Linked DNA regions of Tribolium castaneum. The protein of the gene in region 1 purifies or fractionates together with the protein of each later gene. This does not show direct contact. Links are inferred from orthologs where the notes say so. Each region holds a gene or a part of one and is shown in the gene's direction. Other genes may lie near its edges.

Region 1 (2,449 bases):
AGGTAAAAGGATAATAAAGTTTTTCCTTTTATATTCATTGGTATTAAATAAAAAGGTTCTATTGGGTATATTGTGATACGTATTTGACAAATTTCGATTGAGGAGTACTTTTAATGCTGTCCGTTTGAGCGCTAAGTGCATACTTTATTTTTTGTAGAAGGTTTTTTTCTTCATTGCGTGGTAAAATGGCATCAAAAACGCAATGGTCTTAAATTAAAAAATTGGTATTTATTTCAAGGTGCGTTATGGTCAAGTTTAAGGTTTATTCAGAGTGAGAGAGTAAGAGAAAAGGTATATAGTATTGTTTTTACACACCATAAGATGTGAAACAGTTTTTGAGAACTGAGTTAGTTGGCGCAACAATTAATTTTAGTAAAATTATTATTTTTCACCCTTGACATCATTTTCGTATTAATTTCCAGATAATGGCGGCGGCAGTAACTTGGTGGTTCAAGTCGACACGATTTTTGTGTCTGGAATGAATCCAAATCTCACCGAAGACGAAATTGCTCAACATTTTGGTTCGATTGGCGTGATTAAAGTAAGTATTTGACTAAACTCAGCGACCTGCACTCTGTGCTTGGATTCACTTTCTTGACCAAGTTCAATTTTGATGTGTCGCAATATTATGACAGATGCTATTCCTTGATTGCAAGAAATATTTGCAAACAAGTGTATTCAATCTGCTACAAAGAATTCCATTTTTGACAAATTTGAAATGATTATTTCGTTCCGATTAGATGGACAAGAAAACCCAGAAACGGAAGATTTGGTTGTATAAAGATAAACAGACCGGACTTTCAAAGGGTGAAGCCACTGTTACGTATGACGATTCCAATGCAGCTCAATCAGCAATTTCTTGGTTCGACGGGAAAGAATTCGGTGGTACTCAAATAAGGGTACAGTTGGCCACGAAAAAGGATAATTGGAGTGGCGGTGGCGGCCGCGGAGGTGGAAGAGGTGGCGGCCGCGGGGGCGGTTTTGGAGGAGGCCCAAGAGGCCGAGATGGAGGTACGTGAGTTTGCAATTTTTTTAAAAGAAATTAATACCCCTTCCGACCCAGATTTGTCTAAAATAGGCCAAAATCTGTTTTTATTTTAAGGGGCAGATTAATTCCCCATTAAACACACAGTAGCAGTTTGGTTGCTTCTGATGTATCCTGTCTAGGGAAACATTTTTTTTATTTGATTGGCAAACAATAATTGTTTGGTATAGGTTTCGGCGGTGGTGGTGGAGGCGGTAGCGGCGGCGGCGGTGGTGGCGGTGGCCGAGACCGCGAAAGCCGCGAAGGAGACTGGAAATGTCCAAACCCAGACTGTGGCAACACAAATTTTGCTTGGAGGAATCAGTGCAATAGATGCAGTGAAGATAAGCCGGAAGGTGCCGGTTCCGGGGGTGAAGATCGCAGAGGAGGCGGCGGCGGAGGCGGTAGAGACCGTGACCGTGGAAGAGATAGAAGAGGTGGTGGCGGCGGTTTCCGCGGTGGTGATCGAGGAGGTCGCGGATTTGGCGGTGGAAGAGGAGGCCGAGGCGGTTTCGGCGGCGGTCGAGGAGGAGGCGGAAGGTATTTGTGACAAAATTTGGTGTAGGAAAGATTTTAATTTTGATGTTTAGGGATCGTGGCGGCGGTCGCGATGGAGGACGTTCCAGGCCGTATTAGAAGATTTTTTCCAAATAGATTCATGAGTGTTTTATTTCCATTACAGTATCATATTCATTTCAGTTTTTATAAGGTGATCTATAAGATTTAAAGCTTTGTGTTTTCTAGTAATTACACAACACGAGAAGTTGAGTGGTCACGAGTATGGCATGTTTAGTGAATAATTATTTTATGTATAATACATTTTTAAGTACAAATTACTTTTTGTTATAGTATGACCTTTCCTAATTCCATTTTCCTGCAAAGTCAAAAAATAACTCATAAACAACTTTTTTCTTCAAAACTTCACAATAACGAATTTTTAATAAATGGTATCTGGCGATTAACTGTTTCAAGATTATAAAAACGCCAACGTCGCATTTTACCGAATTATTTCTTTAAATAAGATTCACAACATTGTAAAATGGTTATTGGGGATTAGATCTCTCATTGAAGGTATAAATTAACATTAGCTATTATTTTTTTGAAATGCATGAATAATTTATAACAGCTAATTTTGAGAGAAAATACGACGTTGGCGTTTTTATAATTTTGAAACGGCCAATACGCTGTCTAACAGTCGTGATCGCAATAGATTTTGATCAACAATAAAATAAGTATTTTTGGAACGGTTTCCTAGGAAATAATTTCCAGTGTTGGCACATCAACAAATTGTGATTTTTTTGAGAAATTTTATATTCAAGAAACTTAGTCTGATAGTAAATTTAAAAGTAATCATTCATCGTATTGTTAGGGAGCGATTATTTAGTGTGAAAGATAAAACATTAAAAAATAATGAGAACTGAAAAA
Region 2 (3,760 bases), on another chromosome or scaffold:
GCAGCCACTTTCATTCATTGAAATTAAAGACAAAATTACGTGGCAATAAATTATTTGAGTGTTTTATTTTATTTATAGTTTCTGTATCTAAAATGCGTCACTCAAAATGTCACTTTCAACACCGCATTTAAAGATTTTAATTGCAATTAAGTTTTATGAAATTATTGGTTTGTGAAATAAATAAATACGACACAGCAATAAAATACACCTACCTTCATATCGCTTCCTCGTTGGCTACCGTTTGTAGCATTAAAAAAAATAATAATAAAAATGAAACCAAAAAAATGTTTATTTGCATTAAATTTTGAGCAAGCCACTTTCATTCATTGAAATTAAAGACAAAATTATTACGTGGCAATAAATTATTTGAGTGTTTGATAATAATTTTATTTACTGTATTTAAAATGTGTCACTCAAACGCGATCACTAGCCACCGAATTGAAAATTTAAACCGGAAAATTTAGATTTGCTTGAACACACGTCCGTTCGCGACAACGGCAAGTAACAAACTGAATAAATTGAACGAAACCGCACAATACACAATAATTTAAATAAACCGACTCACCTCGCTTCGCCTCCCGCTTCCGCTCCCGATCTGACCCGTGCCACTGCTCGCTGTCGACTGAACCGCCCTCGCCGCCTGCGCCGCACACCTAACCTCGGATGTGACGTCATCACACGTCTAAAACAAGTCATAACCAGAAACATTCACTGTCCAAATCCGTCAAATTTAGAAACATTCATACACAGAATTATTCAAAATAGAACAGTATTGATCTAGAAAAGTTAATTATGACAAATGTATTTGTCTATAAACGTCTAAAATTATAAAAGTTTCGCATGCAGTTAATGGAAAAATAAAAATGCATGTTTATATTTAAACAGAAACTGGCAATGTGAAATTTTAGTGCGAAAATTAGTGGTAGAGCTCGGAAACTCTGTAAACGACCACGATAGGCGGAGCCAATGCGTACTTCATCGAGTGAGGAGATTGAGCAGTGGCGTAGCAAAAAACTATTCTATGATCAAGAAGGGTTTGAGATTCATAATTTGTAGTAGTTAAAATTTCCTCTATTCAATAATTGCAAGATGAAATAGTAAAAATCATATCTAATGCTAATACACGTTGATTTCCTAGAAATACAAAGCAGAGAGGTCGAATAAATAAAAATACACAATGAGTAAAGAGTAAAAACGCGTTTATTGCAAAAAATGTTTCTACTGGTATCTTTACTATAACTGGTAATATTGAAATGTTAAACTTTAAGACGAATTCCCTACACATGTAAGTACACGCCACGCCACTGTTTTCTGCCAACACCCCTAATTTAAAGATTGGACTCGTCCGAGACGAGTTTTCGTCTCTGCGCACTCCTACCACCGTGGACGATCTGTCATTTCGCGGACTCTATTCTGTGGTTAAATGTCAAAACTTTTCCAAGGTCGTATTTTTTACCGGCATTTTCTTCGATTAAAAAATACGAAATTTCAATAGGATGTCCGATATAAAATCATTCTTGCACCAGTTCTGCCAGAAGACCAAGAAAGAGCAGCCCCAGTTTGAAGTCCGGCCAACCGGTAAGCCGCAGCCCCTTTTCACCCTTTACTAATTTCCCCAAAGGCCCCAAACACCGCCAGAGATTCCTCTGCGAAGTCCGCATCGATGGCTACAGTTACGTGGGGGCTGGCAATTCCACCAACAAAAAGGACGCCCAAAGCAACGCCGCCCGCGATTTCGTCAGTTACCTCGTCCGGGAAGGCATTGTTAACCCCGCCGACGTGCCCGACTTCCAGGATGCGCCTCCAGGTCCAAACACCGTTCCGATGAATCGGGGGCCCGCCCCTTCGGTGTTTCGACAGGGAATGGGGCCCTCGTCGTTTGGGGAGGCCTACAGGCCTCTGGGGCGCGATCACGACGATTGGCATTACATGAACAGGGCGCAGGAACAGAAGAGTGTGGAGGATGCAGAGGATTTGGATGTGAATGCTCAGATTCATGGCAATTGGACTGTGGAGAATGCAAAGTCAAAGCTGCATCAGTTTATGCAAAGCAATAAAATACACGCGGATTATAAGTATACGCAAGTGGGGCCAGACCATTCCAGGTTGGTATTGAGAGAGTGAGTAGATGGAAGTTTGTGTGGGGGGAGGAGAGAGAGAAAAATAGGCACAGTAGAAAAACTGAAAAATAATAAAATAATAGAGCATAACCAAGAACAGTGACAGAATAATTTATTTTGTTTATTGTTTACTCACGTTTTTCTTCTGGCCTTGGAAATTTAACATTTCCCCTGCACTGTTTATTTTAAATATTTTTTGTATAAGAGAACGAGAATAAAAAATAAAGAAAGAACCGTAATAATAAAATAAATATACATAATAAAAAATACCAAAAATAGAAAAAAAAACGAAAAGAAGGAAAAAATGTTGTTTTTTTTTTTTTTTAATTAAATCTGCAATAGAGAATGAGGCACCAATAGAAGAAATAATAAAAAAATGTAAGGAGTAAAGACAGATAAGCAAAGCCAAGAACAGTGGATAGAATAATTTATTTTCATTATTATTTTATCCATTCACGATTTTTTTTTCTGGCTTTGAAAAAACCAACATTTCTGCCAGAAGGATTATTGTTATTGTTTGACTATTTATGGTTTGAAAATTTTTAGAAAAAAATGAAAGATTGAAGAAATTAAAATTTTTCTATCTTTTTTATTTTTTTCTGCAGAGAAAAAATAGTAGAGGTGGAAAAGCAGAACTAAGTACAGTGGATAGAATAATTTATTTCGTTTATTTACCAAAAAATTCACGATTTTCTTTCTGGAAAGAAGGAAGTTGTGAATGCGTTTATGTTTTATTTAACCAATTGAATGGCATTTTGATAATAGAGTTACTGGTTTGATTAAAAAATTAGTAACTTTGAGGTCATTTTTTTATTTATGAAACTTCTGTTTTACTTCTTGCAGTAGTTTCTTAAATAATAATTTTCCACTGCAGCTACCGTGGGAACAACTCAAATATTTTACTGTTCTTGGTTCTGTTTTTCCTCCAAGGTACAATATAAAAACTCTGCATTATACACTTGTAAGTATACTTTTAATCCCCTATTTCTCAACTGTAATGCTCCCATTTCTTAGGACTTTTGTGGCCGAAATGAGCTTCTACGTCAAGCAACTCGGACGTACAATAACCGGTCGTGATTCCGGTTCAAATAAGCAAACCGCTAGTAAAAGTTGCGCTCTTTCCATCATTCGCCAACTGTTCCATCTCGGTGTAATTGAAGCATTTTCCGGAACACTTAAAAAAGAGAAAACCGGCAGTGAAATGAAACCTTTCGATGTAAAAATCTCCCCAGATTTACAAAAACAAATCAAAGATTGCCTCGACACTTTGAATATCACTCCGGTTGAGGTTAAACCGGAAAGCGAAAGCCAACCGGTTTCACTTTTGAGCAATCACATTTTGGACGACTTTCAAGCCTCCAAACCGATAGCTGCAGGAGTTGTCCCATGGTCGCCTCCTCAACAAAATTGGAATCCTTGGACTGGGTGCAACATTGATGAGGGCCCCCTTGCCAACGCCAACTTGGACGAGTTGAGCGAACATTTGGCCGAAGAAACCAAACAAAAATTGAATCATGACGTTGATTTGAAAGCTATCATTAGTGAGAGACAAGGTTTGCCAGTGTATTCAATGAAGGGGCAAATTATGGCCGCAATTAACGATAATCCCGTTATCATAATTAAGGGAAATACCGGATGCG
Region 3 (3,660 bases), on another chromosome or scaffold:
TCTAACAGTCATGATCGCAATAGAATTTGAGCAACAATAAAAATACATTATTTTTGAAACGTTTTCCTAGGAAATAATTCCCAGTGTTGTCACATCTACACATTGTGATTTTTTGGATAAATTTTAATTTTTGTAAATTAAAAAAACTGCTAAAGTCTGATAGAAAATTTAAAAATAATTATTCATCGTTTTGTTACGGATCGATTACCTGGTATGAAAATAAAAACATAAAAAAAATGAGAACTGAAGAAGTTAACAAAATAAGTTTGTAGCTCCAGATTTTTTAAAATATGACTTTAGGAATTTTTTCAACATTTTTCCCGTAATCTGCACTTGCTTCTCAATAACGTACTACTGAGTTGGTGCGCCAGTTTTTGAGCACCATCTTCGACGAAATCAAACTAATTGGAAAAAAGTTTACAAACCTTAAAATTTTAACATATTTGAACACTTCTACAAGCTATATATCAGTTTTTTCAAATGGAATTTTTATTTCAGTAGGTGGAAAAATGTAATTCTTCAACGATCTGTATTAGCATTAACTATACCTATCTGTGATAATTTTTAAGTTATGTTGGTTTTTTTTGACATTGCCCGAGGTTCCTTACTAGCAAGAGCTATTTTTGCAGAGTTTTACAAGGAAACATTTCTCACTGAATAAGCGATAAGCTCTGTTCAAAATTTTGCTTTCCTTTCCATTAAAACAAATAAATTCATTGAATTTAGATTTGAAAAACTTTAGATTTCTTATACAGGGTGTATCAGGAATACGTGTCTTAATTTTGACAGGTAATAGACTTCAGCAAATATAAAAACATTCTATTTGTAATTTTTCAACAAAAAATTCGCAAATTTACTTAAAATTTGGAAAAAGATAACATACTGAAACGTGTACCTGCCTATGGGTACAAAAATAAGAGAGCCGAACTATTTTCATTGTGATAGAAACGGAACATGTAAACAATTTAAAATAACAATAAAAATTGTTGCTATGAATACAAACTAATTATTAAACACTGACCGACTTGTTTCCACAAAAGAAACACGTATTTTTGATACAACCTGTATTTTACTCATGATTCCATGGCAACCTCGATGGCAACGCATGCGAAAAGCGCTATGGCATTTCTCAATACCAACAAAAAAATTCGTATAACTGTATGGAATTGATACAAAATTAAATTTTCTACCCTTTAGTGAAATAAAAATTGTGGAATTTCATTTAAAAATTTTGAGTTATTGGTATTTGGAGTGCTGCAACTTACTTTTTTAGTGTGAAGACACCAAAGAAAAGATTTTTTCTTTCAAACAAGCCAAAAAGGATTTAAACATTAAAAAAAAGCAGATTTTTCAAGTCAAAGATGCAAATCAAAATTTTTCAAAAAACTAAATATTTCGAAACCGATTAAATATAAGTATAAAAAAACTATTAAAAACTCCCTTAAAATAACTCAAGTAATCCAAAAATGCATTATTAAAACATAAATAGCTTTCCATTTAAATTAAGAAAGTTGATAACTACTTATGGGATAACCTTATTGAAAGTATTTTCATTGATCAGACTTAACGGATTATGGTTGTATACAAATTTTCAGATAACTATCATTATTTAGAACTCCCAATTCCCAATATATCTGGGGTTTAGACGGAACAGCGTGTACATAAATAACATCCAAATATCAAACAAATTTTTTTTCCGTTGGAGGTGGGCTTATGATAACCGTGTACTGTGCCGTGTTTTTTAACTTTTTAATTATTATACTTTATGTGAAATACTCTTACATGTTACGATTCTAATAATCTTTAATTTCTGGGTTTGTTTTTTATTATTAACTGTGATTTTTTAAACTCCCATCTCTATGATGAAAAGAGAAGGCATTATTCACGATGTTTTTATTTTAGTTACTCTTATTGTCGGTCTGTTTGCTGTAATTTCGAAATTTTCGATTTTTAATTATTATCTCGGTTCGGCTCTAGAGTTTGTCGTTTTTCTTTGTTGGTGAGACGCACATGTCGCGTCATTATGGCTATTGCGGTGCAGTAAAAAACAAACAAACATTTTTAGGTGAAAGGGCTATTGCCGGACGAGGAGAAAGAGAAGATCGGTCCGAAAAACGTGGTTGGTAGCAAAGCCCAGGCTAAAGTTAGCGCTGCGGCCGCTGCCGCTGCTATAATCTCTGCGAAACCTCTCGCAAATCCAAACCCGGTAAGTATGAACAGATTCCGTTCATTTCTCACTTGTATATATTGCTTAGCCGGTTAAAACCACACCGGTATCAGCAGTTATGCAAACACAAACTCAAACCATCGTTCAGGTTCCACAGCAAGCCACGATGCTACAACAGACGTCCATTATGATGATGCCAGCGCCGCCTATGGCTCCTATGCGGCCACCACCACTCATGAGTAGGTTTTTTTTTGCTTTTAATGAAACAAGTTATTAAGTTTTTCATTAGTGGCAGCACCTCCACCCATGGCCGGTTTTGTCACACCCATGGCCCAGATGCCACCCATGGGCGGAATGCCGGTCAAACATCCAAGTGAGACGCAACCGGAAGAAGAACCGTCGAATAAAAAAATGCGAAATGAGGATTCACTCATCCCTGAAGAAGTTTTCTTATCACGCAATCCGGTACGTTTGATCAAGTGTGCGCATGTCAAAATTACAATTTTAAATTACAGAATCCTGTTTCGATTAAAATCGCCATTCCGGTGGTTCCCGAAAAGACAGAATGGAAATTGACGGGACAAATGATGGCGTTGAATGTCCCACTTTCCGAAAGTGTTTCTTCAATCAAATCGAAAATACAGGAAGAGACCAATATGCCTCCGGCGAAACAAAAATTATTTTATGATGTAAATTTAATTATTAAATTTTTTTTGTTGGTTACTTATTTGTTTTTTCCAGGGCATGTTTTTCAAGGATTCAAACACGCTTGCTTACTATAATATCATCACGGGGGCTGTAATACAACTACAAGTGAAGGAAAGAGGTGGTCGCAAAAAATAAAGTGTATTTAATCAAGAATTCAAATAAATTATCACTAGAATGGTATATTTATTACGTATATTCAGACTTTATTTCCTAAAAGCATAGCCTCCAACTTTCTATATCGCGCAACCATTGGTTCGTAGATCTCACTAGCGTCGGAATATGGTTGACAAATGAGTCGTGGTGGGGGGAGACATGACGTAATCTCAAAGTAGTTACTTTGAGAGCCCAAAAGTCCGTGTTTCGCTTGATAAGCGGCCCCCAACATGGCCGACTTCGATTCGTCCTACATGAGTTACATAGTTATTTTTTCTATACTTTTGACAATGGCAGCGGCTTTTTGACTTTTAAATACAGTATAAAAACGCTAGTTAAAAAAGTTAATACTCACTAGGAGGTAAACAGGTGCGTTGAAGACGTCCGAAAGCACTTGAAGAATTGCTTTATTATTGGAAGCACCTCCCGTTGCTAGAATCTTCGTTTCTTTGTCCAATTTAAATCCAATGTCTTCGACGTAAGCCCGTCTTGCGATAAACTGTCCTTCAATCAAAGCCCGGACTTCGACTTCCAAACTTGTAAATCTTGTCACTCGTTCATTGGCTTTATTAAACCTGTAATCGCCGGACAAAAACGGTAGGATCTCCTGGACGTCGTAGTACAATCCTGAA

What was found.
Region 2: the proteins of RNA-binding protein cabeza (region 1) and mle purify together in Homo sapiens (affinity purification with mass spectrometry; 4 studies listed by BioGRID and IntAct, with this or other methods). This does not show direct contact. The link is inferred for Tribolium castaneum from reciprocal best matches to the Homo sapiens genes FUS and DHX9.
Region 3: the proteins of RNA-binding protein cabeza (region 1) and Sf3a1 purify together in Homo sapiens (affinity purification with mass spectrometry; 3 studies listed by BioGRID and IntAct, with this or other methods). This does not show direct contact. The link is inferred for Tribolium castaneum from reciprocal best matches to the Homo sapiens genes FUS and SF3A1.

Annotation. Positions count from the first base shown.
Region 1 is NC_087395.1:19,586,575-19,589,023, reverse strand, and holds the end of RNA-binding protein cabeza, read left to right. Parts: intron 1-422; coding exon 423-541; intron 542-740; coding exon 741-1,011; intron 1,012-1,215; coding exon 1,216-1,564; intron 1,565-1,614; coding exon 1,615-1,660; 3' UTR 1,661-1,860; downstream 1,861-2,449. UniProt on the Homo sapiens protein: DNA/RNA-binding protein that plays a role in various cellular processes such as transcription regulation, RNA splicing, RNA transport, DNA repair and damage response. Binds to ssRNA containing the consensus sequence 5'-AGGUAA-3'.
Region 2 is NC_087394.1:36,799,382-36,803,141, forward strand, and holds the start of mle (dosage compensation regulator), read left to right. Parts: upstream 1-899; 5' UTR 900-1,442; intron 1,443-1,495; 5' UTR 1,496-1,496; coding exon 1,497-1,578; intron 1,579-1,621; coding exon 1,622-2,105; intron 2,106-2,994; exon of another isoform or gene 2,995-3,081; intron 3,082-3,134; coding exon 3,135-3,760. UniProt on the Homo sapiens protein: Multifunctional ATP-dependent nucleic acid helicase that unwinds DNA and RNA in a 3' to 5' direction and that plays important roles in many processes, such as DNA replication, transcriptional activation, post-transcriptional RNA regulation, mRNA translation and RNA-mediated gene silencing.
Region 3 is NC_087397.1:12,575,584-12,579,243, reverse strand, and holds the end of Sf3a1 (splicing factor 3A subunit 1), read left to right. Parts: intron 1-2,065; coding exon 2,066-2,206; intron 2,207-2,255; coding exon 2,256-2,406; intron 2,407-2,456; coding exon 2,457-2,632; intron 2,633-2,682; coding exon 2,683-2,856; intron 2,857-2,908; coding exon 2,909-3,010; 3' UTR 3,011-3,068; downstream 3,069-3,660. Other genes in the region: xylulose kinase, read right to left, coding at 3,072-3,278, 3,384-3,655. UniProt on the Homo sapiens protein: Component of the 17S U2 SnRNP complex of the spliceosome, a large ribonucleoprotein complex that removes introns from transcribed pre-mRNAs.